7 linked regions of the Rattus norvegicus genome follow. The protein of the gene in region 1 purifies or fractionates together with the protein of each later gene. This does not show direct contact. Links are inferred from orthologs where the notes say so. Each region holds a gene or a part of one and is shown on either strand. Other genes may lie near its edges. The genes, in order: Hsf1, Fbxw7, Hnrnpa2b1, Hspbp1, Hsp90ab1, Bag3 and Smarca4.

Region 1 (3,456 bases):
TTTGTACACTGCTTGGGGCCCAGGAATTCTACACATTGTACCTTTAGGATCTGTCTCAACTCCTTGAGATCAGGCTGCTCAACAAGTTGGGCTAGTGGCTCTAGGCTGTGCTGCAGAGGTCAAACTTGACTGGGCTTGGCTCACTCTTCCAAACTACCCTTGGCTCTGACATAGAGCTCTGAAGAGAGTGAATACTCTGCCCCAAGTTTTAGTAGCTGCCAAATTAGACAGAGGACTTTTATATAAGAGTCTTTTTGACAATCCAAGGTCTTCGTCCTTGCCTTGGTGAGGTTTGTGCTTATCTACCGCTAGAGTCTGCCAGGCTACAGACCCTAACCTGCAGTTAGGTGGTTACCTGGTGCTAGGCAGGGTGGGCAGTAAATTTGGCTGCCTTAGGCCACCTGTGAGGCCATTTCCACCTGCTTTCCCCCAGTGCGAGACGAGACAGCAGGAACAACTTCAGAAGCAGCCCAGTGCCTGACAGATAAGGGCCTGGCTCTGCCAACGTGTCCAGCATGGCCATGCAGAACACTCTTGCTGACAACAGCATGGGCCAGATTGGTCCCCTAAAGAAAAAGCTGTGAGCAAATACTAGTTCTGTAGATCAAGGTTGGTCTAGGGGGTATCACAGGTATCTGTATTTTTCCAAGGAGACATGTAGTAAGTTCTGAACTCCCTGCCTACATCCCCACCTTCCAGATCCCTCAGGGCAGGAGGAAACACACAGGAGGCCACAGTAGAACCTGTTTATCATCTGCCCATCTCCGTGTGCATGTATATATATATATATATGTATGTATATATATATTTATTTGTGAAGGGTTAAAGGGGACTCTCATGTAAAAATCCAAAATACAATTTTATGAACAACCTGCAGGGTCAGTCCAAGTGTGGCTGTGAAGCTCTGACCCAGAGAGCAGACCTGGGGCTGGGGTGAAGGCAGCAGGTATGCAGCCTTCAGGATCTTCCTCTTGATCCAAGGTACTGCCCAAGCCCAAGTCCCATCTGTGCTCCACTGGGGTTGTGCTGGCTTGACCTAGGATTCCCTGGACTACCCAACTGTCTTGTCTCCCCAGGACCAGCCGTGTCCTAGGAATAGGCTGGGGGCCAGGCCCAAGCCAGCCTGACAACTGAAACCTCTAGGAGACAGTGGGGTCCTTGGCTTTGTGGGGTTCAGTGCCCGTCAGAAGAGAGATGGTGGGATCATCCGTGTAGTCATCTCCCTCAGAGAAGTAGGAGCTCTCCCCCAGCTCAAAGAGCACAGGCAGTTCACTGCTCCCTGTGTCCACAGCATCAGGGTCCAGCAGGAACAGAGGCTGAGCCGTGTAGTGCACCAGCTGCTTTCCTGTGGGAAATGGGGTCAGGATGGTGGGGGTGGGCAAGTTGGAAGTGAGAGTTGGGAGGGGCACAGAAGCTTAGCTCACCTGAGTCGGCGTTACTATTCTCTGCCTCAATAGGCCTGGGAGGCTCTTGGGGAGATAGAAGTTCCTGAATCTGTGGGACAGAGAACACAGTGAGGGTTGTTGATGGCCCCCTCTGCCCCCCACCCTGCCCGCCTACGCACGCTGGCCAGGCTGCTGTCCAGGTCAGGCAGGCTCATGTCGGGCATGGTCACCGAGGGGCTGAACAGCTGCAGGAGGAGGGAGGGAAGTCAGGGCTGGCTTGTGGGTGGGATGGAGCGGGTTGGGTAGGGATGACCAGACTCACGTCCAGCAGGGCACTGGTGTCCACACTGAAGCCGTGGCTTGTCAGCATGGTCTGCAGGTTGTCCAGGTTGGAGTCCATGGCATCCAGGTGATCACTTAGCTCGTTCCTGGCCCAGGGCAAGTGGGCAGGTGAACTAATGCCCCAGGCTCCCACCCAGCCGCACTCCTGCTGGAGAAGGGCTCCCCTTTGGTTGCAGCCCCCCAAGCAAGGTCCTTCTGCATAGCCAGCATGGGCTGGGGACTGTGTGTGTGTCTCTGGGAAGATGCCAAAAGGGCTAGTAGTGAGCTTGCCCTCCATGGCTGCTGAGGGAGGGATATAGCATGGCCCGTGGGCAGGACATCCTAGGAGGCTTTAGTTACTAAGGCAGGCCAAGAGGGAGATGGAGAAGAAGGAAAGAGGTGTTGTTGGATAGGAGGGCAGATTTTTCAGGTTTGATAGTCTTGCCACTGCACCAGGAATAGAGTAAGGAGAGGAAACAGGACTGTGCTTGGCATGGGTAGTCCTCCCTTAGACCAGAGGCCTTAGGCCATGGGCAAGGCAGTTAAAATGGCTCTGTAGGTGCCATGGGGCCTGCCCTACTCTGACAGGAAGCTCATCGTAGCAGCCTGTACTGGTAGCTGGGGCAGGCAGGAAACTTGTCCCTATTACGGCCACTGGCTGGTGCAAAGGGAGTCAGTGGAGATGCAGAGCCTGTGAGACCATTCCCTGGTGCTCTTCGCCAGGCAGGGCAAGTGCTATGCCCGGGTTGGGAACTGGTCCATGGCTGTGGGAGGGGGCCTGGCGGAGTCCTCCTCCCTCCCAAGTGGGGGCAGCGCTAACCCTGGCTGGACTCGGCCATGCAGAAAGGAAGAGGGGCAGGGGAAGAGGCGGGCGACCCCAGACATCTGTGGAGCGCGAGCCAAACTGCAAGATACAAAGACAAGAGCCCCCCCATTGCAGGCGGGGGACGGGGGATCTATGCCCACCGTCCTCGCTCACTCAGCCTTTGGGATGTGCCTGAGGGGTGGTGGTCAAGGCTGGACCTTAACTCATCATTTCCTGTGTCGGTCTAGGGAGAATGACAGATCCAAAGATCTTGGGGCTTGCCACAAGAGAGGGTGATGGCAGTAGTAAGGGGGGCCCAAGAGGCAGGGGCATATCCCATTTCTAGTGATATGGTTGGTCTCCCTCCCCAGCTTCAACCTCACTCAGGTTTAGGAGAACAGATCCAACCCATCAACTCCCAGCAAACTGCAGGGATTGTGCCTCACTAAGACATAGGTACCCCGTGCCCAGCCTGAGGAAATCCCATGCTGTTGGGGTTCAGAGGCTATAGGGAGGCAGGGTGGGCACAGCACTCACTTGTCTAGGCAGGCTACGCTGAGGCACTTCTCAGGGGTGGAGGGGGCTGGGGGTGCAGGGGCTTGGGCTCCGGTTGTGTCCATAGGGGCTGTGTTTGAGGCAGCAGGGGTAGGTTCGCTCTCTCGAAGGATGGAGTCAATGAAGGCAGTTGGGGACAAAGGGGTATCCATGGAGGCTGGGCGCCCAGGGCTTGCCTCCAGTACCCGAGGGCTATGAGGTGGGCTGGGGGGCTCTTCCTTGACACGGACCAGGGTGCTGCTGGACAGAGGCCTGAACATGTTAGACAATGACAGACAAGTTAGAAGGAGCCTGAGTTAGCTCCACCCACTTCCAACTCTGCCCCAAGGTCCATAAAGGCTGACCCACTAAGGTGATAGGAGGGATAAAGGTACTGCAGCCCCACCTCTC
Region 2 (3,941 bases), on another chromosome or scaffold:
CAAAACATAAAGAGCTAGAAGACCCAGAAAGAGGGGAAAGATAGCCAAAGAAATGGGGTTTGGGGGGCCACAAAAGTTTCAACATGGCTGGCAGTCAGGACACACACCTTTTAATTCCAGCCAGCACTTAGAAGGCAGAAGCAGGTACATCTCTGTGAATACTAGGCCAGCCTGGTCTACAGAGATAATTCCAGGACAGTCAAGGTAACATAGTAAAACTGTCTTTTAAAAAAAGTTGGAACAAAGGGCCACAGTTAGGTTCATTGATTATTAAAGACCATGGTGGAATATGGGCCTCTGGTTATGTGCAAAAATTAATTTTGTTTTAGATCAAGATAATATATCTGTGTCAGAGGATAGGATGACAATACTGTGACCACTGAATATATTTATTCAACTTCCACTGAAATAAACAACCTGAAACCTGTAAACTAAAAAAAAAAAAAAAAAAAAAAAAAAAGTTGGAACAGATGATAGGAGAAATCAAACAAAGTCTATAAGAAATGTAAGATTAGCTCACAGTGTTTTAGCATTCCTCAAAGAAACTGTATCCTGAAAGATTGAGAAGGCAGGACAAAGAGAAGTAAATTGTTACATAGTGCAGAATAATAAACTTGAAGGTTCCTTACTTTAAGAAGAGGAGGGGAGAACATTGTGAAGTGTGAGAAACTTTCAAAGAAATTTAATCAAGATCCTAAATGGAGAGATTAGAATGGGTGGATAGATAAATGGATACTCCCAGGTTTCCATTCATTTCTACGGAGGATCTCTATTCTGCCCAAATTTAGTTGTCTGGGTGGACCGGCGTTCTCAGTCTTACACTGCCTATGTTCCTTGTTACACAAAATCCCACAGTACTTGCCTTAAGATGTTTAGTTTAACCTTACATAGTTGAAACATTACTTTTCTGTACCTCTAATTTAGCACTCAGTGTGCTAAGTGCTTTCTTAAAAGAGTACAAGTTTCTATGTTGACAAGTAGAGCCAAATAAGAAAAGCAGCATGCATGTCCTTTCAGTCCCTAGTAGAAATGTGTTATCACTTAAAATAGATGACGAGAGAGAGAGAGAGAGAGAGAGAGAGAGAGAGAGAGAGAAAGAGAGAGAGAGAGAGAAGTTGCAAGTGCTCTCCCTGAAATAAGTTTCAGCGAGTTGTGCATCCTAGGAACTCGGATTCTCCTGAGCCAAATGAAACATGCAAACAAGGACTCTACACATTGGAGTCTGTGGACTTATGAAATAAAGCGCTGGGGGCACCAAACCCCTCTTTGCACTAAAATCAAAATTGGTCTTCCTGACCAGGGCAACTTCAAAAACAATAGTTAGGAAAGGAAAAAAAATAAAATAAAATAAGAGTTGATTCAAGTGATTCCCACGTGGGAATCCATGGGAGTTTCCCTGAAACAAAAACCACTGCCAGAATCAGGTTGCCAGAAAAAGGTAGAGGACAGAGCTGTCCACACAGCTCCTCTAAGAAAAACGCCCGAGTACTTGCATTACTCCTGCAAACTGACGCTTTCTCCCGAAATTAGAAAGGAAAGGTCTCCACTGCCAACCCTCCCGAGAAACAGCCCAACTCCACCATCAAAGCACCCACCCGCTCCCACTTGTCACCTTATAATGTCCCCCCTCCTTCGGGTCCACTCACGCTTCAGAGACGAGCGGTGGCGCTGACAATGTGGCTGGCTCCCTTCCTCCTTCGGGCTGAGGCGGGCAGCTGCGGAAGGCTAGGCGCGGAACTAAGAAGCGGTGCTAGCGTCGCTCCACGGAGCAGCTACCCGGGTCTCTTCCGCGCTGCCGGGATAGAAGCTGAGGCGGCGGCGGCGGCAGCGGCAGCAGCCCCGCTCACCGCTTTTTCTCTTCCTGGGTCTCTGCAGGCTGTGGCTTCAGCCCGTCCTGGGCCACTTGTCCCGGGACAGTCACAATCAGAAAGCTCGAAGATTTTGTTTGGGTAAAGTTTCCTCTGGGCGGAGGCTGCAGCCGGCCCCCCGAGTCCCCCCCGGCCCCGCCGCCCTGGGGGGCTGGGGCGGGGAGGGGGCGCCGAGAACTCCTGGAGTCCCGCCGAGGAGCCGGGGTGCGGCGGCGGGCCCAAGGAGAAGCCCCCCAGAGGGGGTGAAGGGGAGGGGAGGGGAAGGAGAGGACAGCGGCGCCCGGGCCGCTCACCACGCCGCCGCGGCCGTTTCACATCGGGGTCCCCGCCCCCCCGGCCCGGAGGTGGCTCCTGGGCTGGGGGCCCCGGTTCATACACTCCGCTATGGGATGCTACGGCCCGGGTCGGCCGGTCTGGACGGCGGCAAGGCTGGGGACCCGGCGGGCTCGGATCGGCGCCGCCCCCGCTCCCGGCTCCCGCATGTGTCGCGGCGGCCGGGACCCCCTCCCTACACCTCGGGGGGTCCTTCGCCCCACACTCCGGGGCGAGGCAGAAAGCCCAGCCCCTCGCGGGCGTCCTCTCCCGGCTGAGCAGCTACGAGTCCCGACCGGCGGCAGCCGCCTCCCTGCCCCCCGGCCGCGGGCTCCGGCTCCGGCTCTGGCTCCGGCTCTGGCTGGGGCTCCCGCTTCGGCGTGTGCAGCAGCCGCTGCCGGCCGGGAAGGTAAGGGGGGGAGCAGACGGCGGCCACGGCTCCCGATGGCCCGGGCTGCGGCGAAGGTCTCGGCGGCGGCCAGTGCACGGGTGCCGGGTCTCTCGGATGCTCGCTCGCTCACTCACTCGCTCTCACCGGCGGCGGCGGCAGCGCCCGAAGCTCAGCTCGCTGTCTCTCTCGCTCTGTGCGGGGCTCTCGCCTCACTCCAGAGAGGGGCGGGAGGAGAGCGGCGCCCAGCGATGACGTAAGTCGCCTAGCAACCGCTCTCCTCTCCCTCCCTTCCCCTTCCACTCTGCGCCTTCCTTTGCTGGCCTTTTCTCCCCATCTCCAGCCACCCCGCCCTGGGAGGCTGTGGCGCGTTCTGATGACGCACAAAGGGAAAAGGAAGTCGAGATCTGGGAGCGGGTGGGTGCGCCTCGGGCCGCGGGACTGCTGCTGCTACCGCCGCCGCTGCCTCCGCCGCCGCCTCTACGGCCGCGTCAGAACTGAAGAGAGGAAGGGGAGGAGCCCAGGCGAGCCTAAGCTACCGCCTAATCTTACCCCTGACCCTAGGGCGCGGAGAGAGAGCTCCGTAGCCGTTCCCTCCGGGGCAGGTGCGAACTGCTCCTCTGGGAGTGAGGAGGAGGCCAGGGACCGGGCTAGGGCGCGCACCACCCGAAGGTGAGGCATTTGGTCCGGAGCAGATCTTCAAACAGAGAGACGGGTGGAAAAGTTAACCTACAGCCCAGAGGTTGCACCTGCTCCCCGGAGCGAGCCACCCCACCCTTCCCGTGGCGTGGGGTGAAACCTGGCGCTGCATTCTGTGTAGTGAGTGAGTGAGTGAGTGAGTGAGTGAGTGTGTGTGTGTGTGTGTGTGTGTGTGTGTGTGTGTGTATAAGTGTATACAAGCCTGCCTCTAGCACAGCCTTAGCGGAACTCCGAGGTGATGGTGGAAGCGCAAGCGTTTTGTAAATTGAAGTGTAGAAACGTGAGAGTTGTAATACATCTCCCTCCTCACCCCCACCCGCCACATGCAATGAAAGGAAAGAGATGAGAGGCTGTTTGTTGAGAGTCGCAACTTCAGGCTTTTGTGGGAAAGGAGGCGAAATTACTAGGGTTGGAAAACAGCCTCCCTTTTAAGAGTCATTCTTGTTTGTCGTTTAGATTTGGGGGAACTTTTTAGAGAGCTGATTTTGTTCATCAGAGTGCCCCTTACCGTCTTCAAAACATTTTGGCGACTCTCAAGTCTCAATACCTCTCCTCTCTCCCTTCCTCCCTCCCTCTCCCACTGTGTGTGTTAGCGGCCGGGGGTGGGGGGGTAGAGGTATGTTATTAATAAATCTATTAAGCCGTTTGTCTTACAGATTCTGGTCTGGGAAATA
Region 3 (2,187 bases), on another chromosome or scaffold:
AACATAAAGGTTGTAGATGAATTTATTACCTCCTCCATAGTTGTCATAACCACCTCCGTAGCCCCCACCCTGGTTGCCATATCCAGGTCCTCCACCACCATATCCTCCTCTTCCTCCTCCATAACCAGGGCTACCTCCAAAATTGCCACCTATTATAAAATAAGCCTTTAAGTAATTGCTTAAATTATTCAATTCCATTTGAATTGTCTTTATTACACTCATTTCTGGTTTTTCAAAAACATATTTTATATAGTCTATTCTAGAATAGACTCAAAGGCAAGATAAATATCTAATCTTGGGTAAACATGAAGCAACTTAGAGTAACCTTTAATCCCACAAAACTCCTTTGAATCGGTATTTCAAATTCTTATGCTTTATAGTTTTGAGGAAGAAATAAGGGCAGCATACTAGCAAAATTTATAAAGTCTTGGCAGTCATACCTGCATGTGAAGCCCGCCTGGTCTACATGAAACCCAGGACTACAAAGATAATACCCCTGTATATTAAGAACTTATTACATAAATGCATTGTCTTATAATTCCAATATTCTAGCTTTTCTACAAAGCACAGAACTCCCTATCTAGGTTCAATTAGTTTTTTATGAAATGGAAACTCAAACTTATGATTTTACACTGTAAAGTAGGTTAAAGCCAACTTTGCTTAGTTACAAAACTCATCTTTAAAAGCCAATTGACCACTACCTCTAAGCACTTTGATAGGCAAAAGTGATATATAAACCAAACACCAAATTCAATGTTATTATGCGTATTAAGATACAGAAATCATAATCAATGAACACTAACCTCCAGGTCCTCCTCCATACCCATTATAGCCATCCCCAAATCCACGTCCACTTCCATATCCATCTGTTTAAAGAAAGTAAGAATTACACTTAATTTTTCTCCCCACTAATATCTCAGAATGAGGATGGCTAGAAATCTCACTAGTTTATATTGGTTGGGGGACAGGTGGTGGAAAGTCAAAGCCTTGATTGAATTCAAAGTACTTTAATGTGTGCCTCTTGTTACCAATTATTGAATTACAGTTATCTTGTCTGGTTTTCAGGTGCTAGGGTTCATTCAACCTTTGGCTATGTGTTCACCATGTGTAACCTATATGCAACCCATTTTCCATGCATGTAAGCACCTAGTTGATGGATTTCTGTGATGCTTTAGGACCCTGCTACTTCTGGGTTTTTTCAAATCTTACTCATATCCCATACAGCTTTAACTTTTAAACTTATGTGTTCACTGAATAAGCATGTGTGAATACATATATGAACCAGTGTACATGGTGGTCAAAGGACATTTTCACTGTGTCAGAGTACAGGGTCTCTCCTCTCCTCTCTTCCTCTACACTATACACTTCATGCCGAAGGCAAATTCTATTGAGTTTATCTCACTGAAGCCCTTCTATTCATAAAGCAAGTATATCACACCCTTCAAAAGCTCTCCAAATAGAAACTTACCAGAACCCCCCCTAAAGTTGCTTCCTGGTCCTGGTCCAAAATTGCCACCGCCACCTCGAGAATCTCCAAAACCAAAGTTTCCTAGGACATTATATTCTGATTAGTAGCAATAATGCAGACAAATAATCACATACACACACACACACACATATACACAAATAGTTACCTCCTCTTCCACTCCTAGAACTTTGGACTTCCTGCATTTCTTGTCTAGACAATGCCTTTCTAACTTCTGCATTGTGACCATTTATGGTGTGATATTTCTGCACTGGAATAAAAACAATAATTTGTTAATGCCAACTAAGCAATTTTTAGTGAATGTACCCAGTATTTTTTTTATACAACCACACCTCACGTGCCTAGACACTTACAGACAATCTTATCCACAGGATCATGGTCATCAAAGGTAACAAAGCCAAAGCCTCTTTTTTTTCCAGACTGCCTATCAGTAATTATTTCAATAGTATCAATTTTTCCATATTCTTCAAAGTAATCTCTAAGGTGATGCTCCTCAGTATCTTCCTTAATTCCACCAACGAACAGTTTCTTCACAGTCACATGGGCTCCTGGTTTCCCAGACTCCTACAATAAATACAAAGTTAAATTCTGACAGAAAAAACCTTGACTACATCTTACATGTCCATCTTAAGACAAATTCTCCAGATGTTACAATAGGTTTAAAGAGGTTTGTATTGAGAAACATGTACAAAAAATGCACA
Region 4 (3,500 bases), on another chromosome or scaffold:
GGCTGTGAGTGAGTTGGAGGCCAGACTGAAATATATGAAACCTCATCTTAAAACCCATAAGTTCAGGGTTGGGGATTTAGCTCAGTGGTAGAGCGCTTGCCTAGGAAGCGCAAGACCCTGGGTTCGGTCCCCAGCTCCGAAAAAAAGAACCAAAAAAACCAAACCAAACCAAAACAAAAAACCCATAAGGTCTGGGGAAATGATTCAGTTGGTAAAATGCTTGCAAGCATGACAACCTGAGTTCAGATGCCCAGTACCCATGTAACAAGCCAAGCATGGAGGCTTGGGGCTGTAATCCCAGAGCAGGGGAGTCAGAGAATGGGGAGTCCCTGGAAGTCTCTAGCTGTCCAGCCTATTGTGACTGGGGAAGCTACAGGTTCAGTGAGAAATCCTGTCACAATAAACAAGGTGGGCAGTGACTCTGGACAAGATCAGACATGACTGCTGAGTTCCACATGCACGTGCATATGTATACACAAGAACACATATAAACATACACGTATTATGTACACAAACAGAAAAAGACCCAAAATAAGTAAACAGCTGAATGAATGAGCAAATAGATAAAATGGGAGCCCAAGGGAACCTACTTACCTATAGGTATAAGTCAAAAGTAAAAGGTAACTGCATAAAAACGTGTGCTTCTCTAGCGACAACTTTGGAAATTTGGCTTCTCTAAAAAACATGAAAATATTATAAGAATATGTTTTCGTTTTAATCCCAGTTGTGGGGAATGGGACTGCTTCAGATTATCCAAAGCAGCTATGATTTGCCTCATGCTCTAACAGGGGCGTGGTTTTACCAGCTGCAGATAGTTTCTGTGATTGTTTGATGTTTGTAATTCGGGAACTTATCAGAGGATATGTAAATGCTCGGGGGTTCCAAGAGGCAGGGGTGGTTGTTGGCTACTGTCGGTCATGGTTTGTTAAGTAGTCAGTGGGACACAAAGAAGAAACAAGAAGAAATTAGATACTGACATTGAAGATCAATCTTGCCCCAAGGAACTCAACACCTTAATCAGCAGGAAGTAGTCTAACAAAAACATTGTCCGCCCCCCTTCCAATCTCTGACTTTATTGAGGGATCTCTTTCCTTTCCTCTCTATCCTTTTTTCCTCTTTTATCCAGTGTTAGGGGATTGAAGGGGTGAAAGAAAAGGGCCGGAGAAGGATGGAAGAAAGAAGAATCCACCAAGTAGCAAAAGACAAGTTACATCCCCTATGATCAAGTATTGCTCTATTGTAAGAGGAAATGAAGTAGTTACAGGATTTATAACATGGATGGACCTTGAAAACAGTTGAGTGAACAAGACTAGATACAAAGGTTCCATATTGTGTGAGTCCATTCATATGAGGTATCCAAGGTAGGCAAATCCATAGGGAAAGAAACTAGATCGGTGGTGGCAGAGCAGGAAGCAAACTGAGAATGGGAGTGTCATCCACTGGGTACCGGCACAATGTAAATGTTCTGGAGTCAAGTGATAGCAGTGGTTGCATTGCTTGTAAACATGCTAAAAACCGCTGAGTTAAATGCATTAAGAGAGTGAAATATGGGTTATGATGGTGAACTACTTACTATATGATGGTGACAGTGGTGGTCATGCTGCTGCTGCTGCTGACAGTGGATAGTGATGATAGTGGTCATGGTGGTCATAGTACTGATGGTCGAAGTGGTGATTGTGATGATAGTGCTGTTAACAGTGATTGTGGTGCTGGGTGGATGGAAGTAGCAATTACGTAATGATGATAACGCTGGTTTCCGCGGTAATAGTGATATAGTGGTGAGGGTGTTGTTCCTGGCTGTAGGAATGGTGATAGAGGGGATGGTGGTGGTTAATGGAAATGGTGGTGGTGGTCACAGTGGTGACAGTGATGTTGATGGGTTTAGTAATGGTGATGGTATTGTGGTGCTGCTGCTGGGGATAGTGCTAGAAATGATGCTCATTGTGATGGCACTGATGATAATAGTGAATGGGTGGTGTTGATAGTTGTAGTGACTGCGATGGTGGTGATGGGTATAGTACTGATGATCATCACGATAGGCATGTTGGTGTTTCTGGTGATGATGGAGGCCATGGTGACTGGGACCTCAGAGCTCTGCTTCTCTCTCCAGGTCTTGTCCGAGAGCAGGAGGCTGGATTGCTGCAGTTCCTCCGCCTGGATGGATTCTCAGTGCTGATGCGGGCCATGCAGCAGCAAGTGCAGAAGCTCAAGGTCAAGTCAGCATTCCTGCTGCAGAACCTGCTGGTGGGCCACCCTGAGCACAAAGGTGAGCTGGCTGACAGGTTAACAGATGCCTTGAGAAAGACATCTGGGAAACATGGGAGTGGTATGGGAACGTCCTTCCTGACTCCCACAGCTCTTCCCCCAGGAACCCTTTGCTCCATGGGGATGGTCCAGCAGCTGGTGGCCCTTGTGAGGACAGAACACAGTCCTTTCCATGAGCATGTGCTTGGAGCCCTGTGCAGGTAGGTGTGCTGGGGTTCTAGGAGGAAAGGGCCTTGTATGAGTTTTTCACAGAAAGAGCAGCTCAGGCACTAGTCTGTTCCTATACTGGGACCCCCCTGCACTGGAACTAACTCTGTGGGACACAAAAAGATTGTAGGTCAGAGAGGTGCAGGGATCACACAGTGCATCTCTTTTCAGTTCTTGGGAGGGAGAAACCCTTCTTACAGTTCTCAGGGTGAACAAATTAGTGTTCTTGGCCTTTTCATCCTGCAGGCCTTAGGCCACATGTACCCAGAATGCTGCCTGTTAGCATTTCGTTTACGCTCTGCCCCACAGTTACCTGGCAAAGGCCAGGTATGCCTGACTCACTATAAAAGAGGCTACCCCCTCTCCCCATTCTCCTCCACCTCTCTCCACGTGCTTATGACTGCTTATGGCCAGCCTCCACGCCTCTCCCCTCCCCTCTCTTTCCCTCCTCCTTCTCTGCCTTTCTCTGTCTTTACTACCCTCTCAACTGCCCTCTCCAGGCCCTGAATAAACTCTATTCTATACTATAGGATTGTGTAGCTGGTCCCTCAGGAGGAAGGGATGCCTCAGCATGGGCCTGTGGAAGTACCCTTCCCCCATACCTAACTACACATCCACCAAACACATTTTCTCTTTCCTTATCTTTTTATAAAACACAACACTGCCCAATACAGAATTGTAAACTTAAAGCACTGTAAGATTTCATATATATAATATATATTATATATAATTTAAAATATATATCATTTTATATTATGTTCATCGGTAAAGTAAAACCTTGAATGTACGTTTGTGTGTGAGTGTCAGAAACTCTGAACTGAAATCACAGACAGGTGTGACCCACTGTATGGGTGCTAGGAATTGAACCTGGGTCCTCTGGAAGAGCAGCCAGTGATCTTAACCACTGAAGAATCTCTCCAGCTCCCACATTGTAAGATTTCCTTCCTTCCTTCCTTCCTTCCTTCCTTCCTTCCTTCCTTCCTTCCTTCCTTCCTTGGTTTTGGCTTTTTTCAAGAAAGAATTTCTCT
Region 5 (4,178 bases), on another chromosome or scaffold:
TTTCTGGTCCAGATGGGCTTCGTCTTATTCAGCTCTTCCTGGTCAATGTACTTCTCCTTGATCTTCTTTGTTTTCTTTTTCTTATCTTTGCCGCTGTCATCCTCCTCATCAGATCCCACATCCTCAATCTTAGGCTTCTCCTCATCCTCCTTATCTTCCTCCTCCTTCTCCCCTTTCTCTTCCTCTGCCTCATCATCACTGATCTCCTTCTCGCGTTCCTTCTCCAGATAGAGGGTGATGGGGTAGCCTATGAACTGTGAGTGTTTCTTCACCACCTCCTTGACCCTCCTCTCCTCTAAGTACTCTGTCTGGTCTTCTTTGAGGTGAAGGATCACTTTGGTACCCCGGCCAATGGGCTCACCTACAGAGAGTGAACCAGACATGAAAAACTGCAACTAAAATACTCAACAAACAGGTACACCTCTTTTTTGTTCCTGGTTTCTCAAGCGATCTGTTTCTGCACAGCCCTGGCTTGCCTCAACTCACCCACCACCCGTGTATGCCATGTCCCAAGTGCTGCCATTCACCCCTCAAAAATGTACTTTTATAGAGTACAGTAACTATTAAGGCTGCTTCTTTCTGGCTTTCCCCCAGAGAATTCTACCAACCCAACGTAGACTGCCATCTCACCGTGGTCTGCACGGACAGTGAAGGATCCACCAGCAGAAGACTCCCAGGCATACTGCTCATCATCGTTGTGCTTCGTGATCACAACCACTTTCTCTGCCACCAGGTAGGCAGAGTAGAAGCCGACACCAAACTGCCCAATCATGGAGATGTCTGCACCAGCCTGCAAAGGGTTGTAAGAGAGTGAGCAAAACTGTTCTTGTACAAGCACAACCGCTTGCTGAGCAAGTGTAGTAATCAGTTCAACTTCCAGAATCTAGGCCACAAGTACTTATTAGAAAGACAGACCACACATCCTAGTCTGACAAGTTTTAAATTAGCAAGCCAGAAGCAGTAACAAATTGAGAATGGCATGGGTGGAAGGCCACACACGCACCTGGAGAGCCTCCATGAACGCCTTTGTACCAGACTTAGCAATGGTTCCCAAGTTATTTATGAGGTCAGCCTTGGTCATGCCAATGCCTGTGTCCACCAAAGTCAGCGTGCGTTCCTGAGGGTTGGGGATGATGTCAATCTTCAGCTCTTTCCCGCTGTCCAACTTGGAAGGGTCAGTCAGGCTCTCATACCGAATCTTGTCCAGGGCCTGTAATGTACACGTACACAGCCACTTATTCCATTTATCCAAACAGTTCCTTCTCATCAACTGCTGGATTACTCTAATCACTCCCTGCTTCTCTCTCTCTCTCTCTCTCTCTCACACTCACTCACTCACTCACACTCTTCTGTGGCGTCTTAGAAATTCAACAGAACACTCACATCAGAAGCATTAGAGATCAACTCCCGGAGGAAAATCTCTTTGTTTGAGTAGAAAGTGTTGATGATGAGGGACATCAGCTGGGCAATTTCTGCCTGAAAGGCGAAGGTCTCCACCTCTTCCTCTCCATGGTGCACTTCCTCAGGCATCTAAGAATGAAAGTCTTATTAAAAGTTCAGTTCAAACTTCTTTAATCTGGGTAGTACCCATTCCCAAGACTAGAACCGCCATTTGTTTAAAAAAAGAAAGAAATAAAAGAAAGACCTTAAAGCTACAGTGGCAAGACAAATCAAGAATGGAAAAAAACCCAAAGGATGGCTCTTCAAACTAATGTCCAAATGTCAGACTTTTTGAACGGCATATTAAGAGTTCAGCTCCCTGACTCAGAACAGAACACCTGCCGATATAGTAAAAATCCAGACTGAGTTAACTATACAATAAGATCCCCAATTTCTTCTTCATTCTTCACTGGGGTTAAGTATCAACTTTAACAGAAAGAGCAGCCTCCCGTAAACGGATTTGTGCTCTTCCCCTCGGCAGGGCAAGAAAACCCGAAGCTATAGTTCTGGAAGGACTCAAAGGGCAATTAAATCAGGACAAAGAGGTAAAAAGCTCCACCATGAACGCTGAACTGTGCAGACTTGCATAGGCCCAAACACAAGTAAAATGGTGGCCCAGCCGTCCGGCGACCCGGACATGCGTCGCCAGGAGACTCACGGGGAGGGGGCGCCACTGTAGCCCTCCCACCGCCCCAGCATCCGGGCACTGGGGCGGGGCGCCCGAGGCTTCCAGAACAATCTGAGCTCCCGGGAGGGGAGGAGTAAGGGAGGGACCTAAGAATCTCCCCGTACCTGCTCCCTCCCCGTTTCTCCTCCCACTCCACGGGGAGGGCAGCAGAAAGATCTGGAAAGGGACAAACGCAGTGGGTTCAAGCGTTCCTGCCAACCCTTGTACCCCTCCCCAGAACAAAACACGTTGGGAAACGCGTCCGGGGGAGGTAGCCAGGCCAACCTCGTCTTGCTGAGTCATGCACATAGCAGCCCGCCACCGCGCGGACCCTATGGACCCTGCAGCCGCGCCCGGAAGTGGAGGGCAAACATGGCAGCGTCCCGGGTCGGCGGCTACCACGTGCGGCCGCCCACCACCTGGCCCGGCCGCACCCCCACCTCACGCTCTGGGGAATCCACCGGCCCCGGGGGAGCCTCGCGGTGCAAGCCCGCCGGGGTCCACCATGAGCCACTGGAGACATTCTAGGCACATTATCCCCGCAGACCGCCCAGCCCAACAAGGAGCCTTTAGTTCAGATGAGATGTTGGCGGAGACCCCAGGAAGAAGACCCACGGAGCCGCCAAGTACAGGAGAGCGCGGCCTTACCTTGACGAGAAAGCCGAGTAGTAGTACAGAGCAGGGTGGGCCCGGACCACGTCCGACTCGCACGGCAAGCCTAGGCTGCGCGGGGGTGACTCAAGAGAGCTCCCAAACGCCCCCGACCGCCCTATATAAGGCGAAGCACAGCCCTAGCCCCGCCCTTGGATCCCTCCGCCTTAAAGGAGTGGCTGCCAGCCACGCACCTGCCACCGCCCGCCCACCTTGACGTCATGCTCGCAGACCGGGGAGGGGGCGGGGAAGAGCGGGACCCCGGGCCTGGGCTGCGAGTCAAGGCCAATTCAATAGCGTTTGGTACCCTCATTTCTGCATGAGTAGGACATGTAGCCCTCAAGATGGCCAGGGAGCATGCATATGCTATTAGGGGATGTATCTGCGGCGAATACCCCACGGACTCGCGCAGAAAATTCGATGTAGGCGCTCCCACCCTCAAGAGTCCAGTCCTCAAGGGACTTCTGAAAGAGAACGGAGGTGACCAATTCGGCTGCCATTTTCAGACCCGATCTTACTAGAATGTTCCCTACAAATCGCACATCGAGAGAAAAGGATGATAAGAAATTCGTTGTCCAACTTTAAGGAGTCCCTGATCCCCACCCTCCCCGGTACAGCGAAGCGGCAGGCGGGGAGCAGCTTCTCCGAGGGGAGGGGCGCGGGCCTGGGCTAGCAGGGACTCTTTGGCGGCCTGTGGCGGAAGGAGCAGCAGTGGCGGTGCTTCGATTTCTTCCAGCAGTTTCTAGGCCTGTCTCGGCGGTCTCAACCCCTCCCCCCGAGGCTCCACCTCCCCTGCTGCGGCGGGGGCTGTGTCTTCATCGCCTTTCGGCTGGTTCTTTTTCTCTGCCACGATCTTAACCTGGGGAAATATTTTCCCCAAGTCTCTGTACCATGGGCTACGTTTGTACGACTCGTGGCCCTGGAAGGCCCACATTACTGTGGAGGTGTGGAGCGCAGAGGGGGGAGGGATGGCTGACCTGGATCGGTCACAGGGCACGGGGGCTGTGGGGGTGAGTGACTGCGGACACCTTTCTGTGAACAGAGACGGGAAACCGAACGCTACTGGGTAGAACACTCCCCAACCCTCAGCCTCCCGGGTCGCCCACGTACAAGGCGCGCGGGGACATGTGCCTTCCCTTTGCGAGCACAAGCTGTTTCTCAAGCTGGTTTCGCTTTTCTAGCTAGCCCTCTTCCCTACTGCAGCTCTTTGAACCTAGAGAGGAGGAGGTCACGGTCTTTGCAGATTAACGAGAGCTCTAAGGTATCCGCATGAAGATGCTGGTCACAGGTTGGCCGGGTTCCAGGAGCCAGAACCAAGTTGCACCAGTGTTTTGGTTCTGGAGGTGACCCGCCATGCCTTGCCTGTCCTTCAGCTGGCAATCTAGCCTTGCGGTTTTCCAAGGCTGCATCTGGAAGCTTG
Region 6 (3,500 bases), on another chromosome or scaffold:
AGAGGTCAACGTGGGCCGTCGCCCTCGATTGTTCTTTACCTCATATTTTGAGACAAGAACACTCTCACCGAGCTCCTTGATGGGTTATTTGTGCCCAGTTTGTTATATGGGGTCCCCCACTGGAACAACCTTGATGCTATTTGTCACTCTTCAAACTCTTAGAAACCACAAAAACCACTGAGACTTATACAATCGCTTTATTTTCTGTCCCCCTCCCCGAAATGTAACAACATTAAAGCCATTCCAACGTAGATCTATTTCTACGGCTCCTTGCATATCTCATTGTAGCTGAAGTTAGATGTTTCAGTAACGAAATGAAGGTTATCTCATCAAAATGGTGGCACATCTCAAAGACGGGTTTCTTGTTCCTGTAACTCTCTGCCTATCCCTCAAAACCTAAAACCCCCTACGGTCCAGAGCTAACAGGAAGACAGCCCACAGCCAAGGCTAAATCACCATACCCATGCACAGAAAGGGCTCCCAAACAAGCAGAGGGGTTAGACTTCTGGAACGGGCAACTTGTTTATTTATACGGGTAAGAATAGGGAAGAGAAGCCCCCTTGGTTAGCGCTTTGCCTCCACCCCAAGTTACTGCATACCAAGCGGCTATGAATAAAGACAACCAGCTGACTGCAAGTCCCGCAGTGCATGCATCTTAAAAAGTCTCTACAACGCGGACCCTAGGGAGCCACCGGGTTGCCAGCCGAGTCTGCTGTGCTGCTGGGGTTTGGAGGCGTGGCGGCTTTGGCTTCTAGCTGTTGGCTTTCAGTTTGTGGATCTTCGTTTTCAGGACCTTTCTTATCCTTGTCGGCTGCCACGGCGCCCATGATTTCCTGCAGTGGCTGCTCGGGCTCAAGGTTGCTGGGCTGGAGTTCATAGACTTGGACCTGACCCGGGACATCGATTGCTTTCTGCTCCAGTTTTTCCAAGATGGTCTGAACCTTCCTGACGCCATCTCTCCTGGCCTGACGGACATCAGCTCGTCCTTCGGGGTCTACGGAATCCAGGGCCAGCAGCTCTTTGGTCAAATACTCTTCGATCATCAGGTATTTTTTATCAGTCTTCTTGCCTTCAAAGTTGTCGACGGCCTGCTCCAGCCCCTGCACCTTCTCCAAGATGGCTTCCACTTTCAGCACGCCTGGATGCTTATGGGGCGCTTCGGCGTCTCCTGACTTGAGGGATGCAGCCTCTGCAGGGGCAGGGCTGGGGGCTGCCTTCGGTTCTGCAGCCACATTCTTCGGGGAAGAAGGGACAGCCGAAGGGGCGGGGCCGGGAGAAGGACAAGGAATTGGGGCAGAGGAGACCTTCACTTCCACTTTCTCAGCAGGAGGAGGTGGTTTCTGAGAAACAGGCTTAGAGTCGGCCTCCCTGCGGATCACTTGAATGGGGATGTGTCCAGGAGGGAGATCTGGTCCAGCTAGGCCTGGCTTGCTTTCTGGTTTGTTTTCGGGTTGGGTGACAGGGGGAGGCTCTCGATGGGTCATGGGCTGTTGAGAAAGGAGGACACAAACTTTTTGTAACAGCCTAAAGCAATAATTCACAGTTAATAGCAAGCAAAGAAATAAAAAAAAAGGAAATTGGAAATAACTCTTTTAATTGTGTGTTTGCAGGCACTTGTGACCCGTGTACACGTGGATCTCAGGGGACAGCTTCCATTCTACCCTTCCACCTCTCCGTGGGTTCTGGGAACCGAGCTCAGACTGTCAGGCTTGCAAGCTCTTTATCCACAGAGCCTAGAAAATGACGTTCATTAAAAAAAAAAGATTTTTAAAAAATTTTATTTGTATTTATGTATATGCGATCTGTATGTATGTCAATGCCCTTGGAAGGCAGAAGAGGGAGTCAGATCTCCTGGAACTGGAGCTACAGGAAGTTGTGAGGCACCCACACAGGTACTGGGAACCATACTTAATCAAGAGCCGAGCCATTTCTCTATGCCCATATTGAGATCTTTTTGAGGGCAGCCACCAACCAAAATGCAAACTGGATGTTGATCATGAATGTGACCAAATTATCTGCTAAGCTTCCAGTGATTGGCTCACTACCTGCTTGTTCTGTCTTACAGGCAAGGAAAGCCAGCCACTGTCATTTTCAAAAATGAAACAGCATGCTGGCTGCTCAGTGGGGTTTGCTCAGAGTAATTTCTAACTGACTCCACTTCAGCCCTGGGCCGGAGATGCTGCCTCGGGTCTTGCTGTAAAAAGTCTCACTTCCTGGGTACCCTTTCAAGGTGACTTGTAACAGCCTAGTGCTTTCTGCTCGGACCAGTTTGTTTTTTTTAAAATAAAGCAAGATGCTCGAAATAGTTAACCCTGGAAGAATTCAGGCCCTGCATATTGATGCAATGCTGTGATATGATGCTTTACACTGGCATCCGGCTGCAAAGTCCTTCCAGGGGACTGAGGTCAAGGTCATATTTTAAAATACAAACCATGCTCCAAATGGGAACCGAGTGGGGCTCTTCTAGCATCTAAATGATTACCCGGACTCCAAACCCTCTCATGCCCCAGTTTCATCAACTGAGAAGAAATGCTATACTACTCCATCCCAGGTAGAGCTTTAATTCTTTCTACTTTCATGTTCAGATAAGCTAAATCCTTCAACACTCTAAAAAAACGGTTCTTTGAACAAGAAGTAAAAGAAAGGCTACCAAACTCAAGGTCAGTAGAGGTCGAACTAGGATTAAAGGCTCCCTCACTCACTACAGGAAACACGGGGCAGTCCCCAGGGGAATTCTCACCACTCCTTCCGGGATTACTGAATCCCGAGTGGGTGGCTATCTCGCTGGTGTGCTCCATTCCCACCAAGTGCTTCCTGCCCAACATCAACCCTCACCGCTCAGCCCGCCTCCTCGCAGCCATCCCACCGTGGGTTTTAAAAGCAATGGAAAGGCTGTGTAAGGATAAACTTAGGAAAGGGTGTCCTCTGCTCTTCAGAAATGTCAAGGTCATGAAGCATCGAGAGGCTGAGGAACCGTGCCAGAGACTAAAGGGAAGTGACAGCTAAAGTCAGTGTTTGCACTCCTGGATCAGACCCCCAAAGGGGAAAGTGCTGGGTAGGAAATTTGAAAGTGGGTGGTAAACTGGATAATATGCTATTGGAAGAATATTAAATTTCCAGAATCTGGCCATTCTACTCTGGTTGTATTTCTTAGGGAAAATATTTGCTCACGTATCCAGAAAGGCGTGTTAGTTGCAAGCAATTCTCAAGCAATAGTTAGAGTGAGTAGATGATACAGAGAAAGAAGTGACAGGAAGTGAGAGCGGCAAGCATTACTGGGGGTGGCAGGGGCCACTGGGGCTGTAAGTCAACTGCCAGTGTTTGAGCAGTGTGTAAAAGACCTTGGGTTTGACACCAGCACATGAACCCAACTCAGGGGTGCACCGCATAACCCCAGCACCAGGGAAACAAAAGCAGGAGGGTCAGAAGTTCAAAGTCATCCTCAGGCATACAGCAACTTTGGAGCCAGCCTGGGTGCATAAGAGACTGTCTCAACAAAG
Region 7 (3,500 bases), on another chromosome or scaffold:
GCTTGGGGAGATGGGGTCTAGCATGTCCCTTTCTCTAGAGAACACCCCCATGGAGGTAGATAGATGGCAAAATAGTTCAGTATCCTGCCAACTTTGCTAACTGCATGTGACCTTGGCCATGTCCTCTGAGACGTATCTCTGGAAAGTTCATTTGGATATTTCAAGGTCTTCATTTGAGTTGTAACAGTGGACCTTGACTATCTTCTTGGTCTGAGGTGAATCATTACTTATTGAAATCTACTTTGTTTGGATGTGAACTAGAGTCATTCTCTGAGAGAGAAACTATCCAAGACCCTCAGTAGATACGTGACATGGAGAAAGCAGCAAACCCCACGCATGCTGTTTGTTTCCTTCACACACTGTTTATCAAGCAGAGTAACAAGAAGTAATGATAAAACTCATCAGCCCGGTTAGGGATTTAGCTCAGTGGTAGAGTGCTTGCCGAGCAAGCACAAGGCCCTGGGTTCGGTCCCCAGCTCCGAAAAAAAGAAAAAAAGAAAAAAAAAAAAAAACTCATCGGTCTGAGGAAACGGTCTGAGGACAGCGTGCACCGAACCTGCCCTTGCGATGCTGCTGTGAGGAAGCAGTTACTATGCAGAAGTAGAATTTGAGTGTAGCTATTCAGAACAGCACACTATTAAGACAGTAATCATTTGTTCCTGGAATTTTCCATTTAATATTTTTAGACTGCCATTGACCAAGGGCAATTGAAACGTCAGAGGTGAAGCTGCTAAAGGGGAGGGGCGAGCTTGCATAGAGGAAAGATGGGGGCCTGCTGTCGCTGTGAAGCCAGACAGAACATCCAAACACTTGCGGTTAGGGCAGAGCTATGGGAGAACTGACCTGGAGGGTAGGAGTGTCTGGGTTCTGGCCTAGGTGAGAGGTGGCTGGAAGGGCAGTCCTGGGGGCCCAGAGGTCAAGCAGCATACTCCACTTGCCTCTCCAGGACCCATGGCCAATGCTGCTGCCCCCACAAGCACCCCACAGAAGCTGATTCCCCCGCAACCAACAGGCCGCCCTTCACCTGCACCTCCTGCTGTCCCGCCTGCTGCCTCACCTGTAATGCCACCACAAACACAGTCCCCAGGGCAGCCAGCCCAGCCTGCTCCATTGGTGCCATTGCACCAGAAGCAGAGCCGCATCACCCCCATCCAGAAGCCCCGGGGCCTGGACCCTGTGGAGATCCTACAGGAGCGGGAGTACAGGTGAGCACCCAAGTGCTACACTGCCAGTGTGATTGCGAGGTACAAGGGAATGCTCTGTGGTCTTCTTAGGCTCAGTCCCTTCTAGAGCCTTTGCACAGGCTGCGTCACACCTTCTAGCCATCAAGTGAGGTGGTGGCCATTTCTGTGGTTCCTGGACCCACTCCCTCTCTGCCTTGTACTTGTACTCTGGCATTGCTGCCAGTGCTTACTGCTGTATCCTTTCTAATGGGACTGTGAGCCACAAGAGAGCAGACAACTTTTTTGACCCCTGTTCAGCTAAGATTCCATATGAGAAACTGCCTTGGCACACAGTAGGTGCTCCATAAATAACTATAGGAAGGTAAAGTAGGGAACTTTTTCCACATAGGTTACTGGGAGGGTTAACCTGTAGATAAAACATTGATGCTGCCCATGGGCTTTGCAGATTTCCATAGCCCTGGGTCTCATGCTGAAGCTGAGCTGCCTAATGCCATAGGCCAACTCTCACTGCCCTTATGGGATTAGCACCTGGCTAAGTCACTGTTCTAGTTTACTTTTCTATTGCTGTGGTGAAACACCAAAGCAATCTAGAGAGGAAAGGGTTTATCTCCCCATGGATTTCCAGATAACAGTCCATTACTGAGGGAAGTAACTTAAGTCAGGACCTGAAGCACAGGCTGGGGAGGAACACTGCTCTTGTTCTCCAACTCATGCACAGCCAGCTTTTCTATATAGTTCAGAGCTACCTTCCTCAGAATCGTGCTGTCAGGGCAAGGCACGGCGGTGTATGCCTTTGGTCCCAGCTCTCAGGAAGCAGAGGCAGGTAGATCTTCATGAGTTTGAGGCCAGCCTGTTCTTATAAGCAAGTTCCAGGACAGCCAGGGCTACGTAGAGAAATCTTGTCTCGGAAAAGAAAAAAAATTTTTTCATGCTTCCACATTGGGCTGGCCGTCTGCTCAAGCAACTTTTGCATTTGAGGTCCCCACTTTGCAGATGATTCAGGGTTGTGTCATCTTGACAATAAAATCTAGCCAGGAGAGTTGTCAAGTCTCAGGCTCGCTGTGGTCCCAGCAGGCCTGTTCTCAAAAGCACTCTGAAGCCGCTTGTGAGGTTCTGTGTGGTAACTGATGTCCTTTTTTTGAAGAGTCCCCTCCTTTGAAGGACAGACTGTTTATAGACTCTGGCTTTAAAGATAGAGACCAGGTGACTTCTTGTAGACAAATAGTCCTCACCACCTTTCTTTCCCTATCTTTGCCCAGGCTGCAGGCTCGAATCGCACACAGAATTCAGGAACTTGAAAACCTCCCTGGGTCCCTGGCTGGGGACCTTCGAACCAAAGCAACCATCGAACTCAAGGCCCTTAGGTTGCTGAACTTCCAGAGGCAGGTGGGTCTGTGGGCCTGGGTCAGTGGGGATGCTGGGCTCCAAGAATGCTTTGAGGGGTGTTATCTGGGATACCTGCATGGTTGGAGCAGTCAGGACTCTGGGAGAGTTAGTTTACTGTCATGGCTCATGCTTTGGCACGACCCAGCCATGCATAGTCTGTGCCTACATGGGTATGGGCTCCTGAGGTTGCAGTTGGCAGCTAAGGCTTGGTGAGTCTCTTCCTGAGGGTACTGTGCTTTTACACATCCCCTCAGGAACTGTATGTGTGGGTGTAGAAAAGTCCTGATCTCTTATGTTCTGTTCCTTGCTTGTTCTACCTGCTGTCTCCCAAGCATCCTCTGCATCCCAGACAGTTTGTTGTAGGATCATCTGCCCAGCATGTGCTCATCACTCTGAGCATCTCCACAGACAGCACAAACCCATCATGCCTTAATGCCAGTGTCTCATTTTCCACCCTAAAAGCTGCGCCAGGAGGTGGTGGTGTGCATGCGAAGAGACACAGCCCTAGAGACAGCCCTCAATGCCAAGGCTTATAAGCGCAGCAAACGGCAGTCACTGCGGGAGGCCCGCATCACTGAGAAGCTGGAGAAGCAGCAGAAGATTGAACAGGAACGCAAGCGTCGTCAGAAGCACCAGGTGTGTTTGCCTTGCAGGGTGTACTCTGCTGAGTCTCCCTGCAAGCCAGAGTGTCCTGGGCACAGCAGTGTGCCAGTGCACAGACCAAACGGTAAGAGAAGAGGAGCAGGGATCATATCAGGCAGCTTCAAGAGGTGGGAGAAGAGGAGCGGGGACCTTAAAGAAGAATCCACCTTGGACAGACGGAGCTCAGTGAGGTTTCTGTGAGGAGGCTGAGCAGAGAGACTTGAGCAAGGGTACAGTGCTGAGGAGGGGCTGGGGCTGGAACATGCTCCCATGTGTCATCTAGAAGTG

What was found.
Region 2: the proteins of Hsf1 (region 1) and Fbxw7 purify together in Homo sapiens (affinity purification with western blotting; 4 studies listed by BioGRID, with this or other methods). This does not show direct contact. The link is inferred for Rattus norvegicus from reciprocal best matches to the Homo sapiens genes HSF1 and FBXW7.
Region 3: the proteins of Hsf1 (region 1) and Hnrnpa2b1 purify together in Homo sapiens (affinity purification with mass spectrometry; 3 studies listed by BioGRID, with this or other methods). This does not show direct contact. The link is inferred for Rattus norvegicus from reciprocal best matches to the Homo sapiens genes HSF1 and HNRNPA2B1.
Region 4: the proteins of Hsf1 (region 1) and Hspbp1 purify together in Homo sapiens (affinity purification with mass spectrometry; 5 studies listed by BioGRID and IntAct, counting the BioPlex papers as one, with this or other methods). This does not show direct contact. The link is inferred for Rattus norvegicus from reciprocal best matches to the Homo sapiens genes HSF1 and HSPBP1.
Region 5: the proteins of Hsf1 (region 1) and Hsp90ab1 purify together in Homo sapiens (affinity purification with western blotting; 3 studies listed by BioGRID, with this or other methods). This does not show direct contact. The link is inferred for Rattus norvegicus from reciprocal best matches to the Homo sapiens genes HSF1 and HSP90AB1.
Region 6: the proteins of Hsf1 (region 1) and Bag3 purify together in Homo sapiens (affinity purification with mass spectrometry; 3 studies listed by BioGRID and IntAct, with this or other methods). This does not show direct contact. The link is inferred for Rattus norvegicus from reciprocal best matches to the Homo sapiens genes HSF1 and BAG3.
Region 7: the proteins of Hsf1 (region 1) and Smarca4 purify together in Homo sapiens (affinity purification with western blotting; 3 studies listed by BioGRID). This does not show direct contact. The link is inferred for Rattus norvegicus from reciprocal best matches to the Homo sapiens genes HSF1 and SMARCA4.

Annotation. Positions count from the first base shown.
Region 1 is NC_086025.1:110,100,710-110,104,165, reverse strand, and holds the end of Hsf1 (heat shock factor protein 1), read right to left. Parts: coding exon 3,452-3,456; intron 3,319-3,451; coding exon 3,049-3,318; intron 2,611-3,048; coding exon of another isoform or gene 2,527-2,610; intron 1,814-2,526; coding exon 1,708-1,813; intron 1,631-1,707; coding exon 1,565-1,630; intron 1,495-1,564; coding exon 1,425-1,494; intron 1,346-1,424; coding exon 1,140-1,345; 3' UTR 501-1,139; downstream 1-500. UniProt on the Homo sapiens protein: Functions as a stress-inducible and DNA-binding transcription factor that plays a central role in the transcriptional activation of the heat shock response (HSR), leading to the expression of a large class of molecular chaperones, heat shock proteins (HSPs), that protect cells from cellular insult damage.
Region 2 is NC_086020.1:172,446,597-172,450,537, reverse strand, and holds the start of Fbxw7 (F-box/WD repeat-containing protein 7), read right to left. Parts: upstream 2,801-3,941; 5' UTR 1,647-2,800; exon of another isoform or gene 1,613-1,646; intron 1-1,612. UniProt on the Homo sapiens protein: Substrate recognition component of a SCF (SKP1-CUL1-F-box protein) E3 ubiquitin-protein ligase complex which mediates the ubiquitination and subsequent proteasomal degradation of target proteins.
Region 3 is NC_086022.1:81,870,700-81,872,886, forward strand, and holds part of Hnrnpa2b1 (heterogeneous nuclear ribonucleoproteins A2/B1), read right to left. Parts: intron 2,051-2,187; coding exon 1,840-2,050; intron 1,737-1,839; coding exon 1,635-1,736; intron 1,550-1,634; coding exon 1,469-1,549; intron 867-1,468; coding exon 804-866; intron 150-803; coding exon 30-149; intron 1-29. UniProt on the Homo sapiens protein: Heterogeneous nuclear ribonucleoprotein (hnRNP) that associates with nascent pre-mRNAs, packaging them into hnRNP particles.
Region 4 is NC_086019.1:78,211,067-78,214,566, forward strand, and holds part of Hspbp1 (hsp70-binding protein 1), read left to right. Parts: intron 1-2,110; coding exon 2,111-2,266; intron 2,267-2,368; coding exon 2,369-2,465; intron 2,466-3,500. UniProt on the Homo sapiens protein: Inhibits HSPA1A chaperone activity by changing the conformation of the ATP-binding domain of HSPA1A and interfering with ATP binding. Interferes with ubiquitination mediated by STUB1 and inhibits chaperone-assisted degradation of immature CFTR.
Region 5 is NC_086027.1:22,929,045-22,933,222, reverse strand, and holds the start of Hsp90ab1 (heat shock protein HSP 90-beta), read right to left. Parts: upstream 2,801-4,178; 5' UTR 2,756-2,800; intron 1,531-2,755; coding exon 1,384-1,530; intron 1,211-1,383; coding exon 1,004-1,210; intron 791-1,003; coding exon 631-790; intron 362-630; coding exon 1-361. UniProt on the Homo sapiens protein: Molecular chaperone that promotes the maturation, structural maintenance and proper regulation of specific target proteins involved for instance in cell cycle control and signal transduction. Undergoes a functional cycle linked to its ATPase activity.
Region 6 is NC_086019.1:192,553,960-192,557,459, reverse strand, and holds the end of Bag3 (BAG family molecular chaperone regulator 3), read right to left. Parts: intron 1,488-3,500; coding exon 681-1,487; 3' UTR 179-680; downstream 1-178. UniProt on the Homo sapiens protein: Co-chaperone and adapter protein that connects different classes of molecular chaperones including heat shock proteins 70 (HSP70s), e.g. HSPA1A/HSP70 or HSPA8/HSC70, and small heat shock proteins (sHSPs), e.g. HSPB8.
Region 7 is NC_086026.1:28,464,319-28,467,818, forward strand, and holds part of Smarca4 (transcription activator BRG1), read left to right. Parts: intron 1-946; coding exon 947-1,205; intron 1,206-2,443; coding exon 2,444-2,570; intron 2,571-3,032; coding exon 3,033-3,206; intron 3,207-3,500. UniProt on the Homo sapiens protein: ATPase involved in transcriptional activation and repression of select genes by chromatin remodeling (alteration of DNA-nucleosome topology).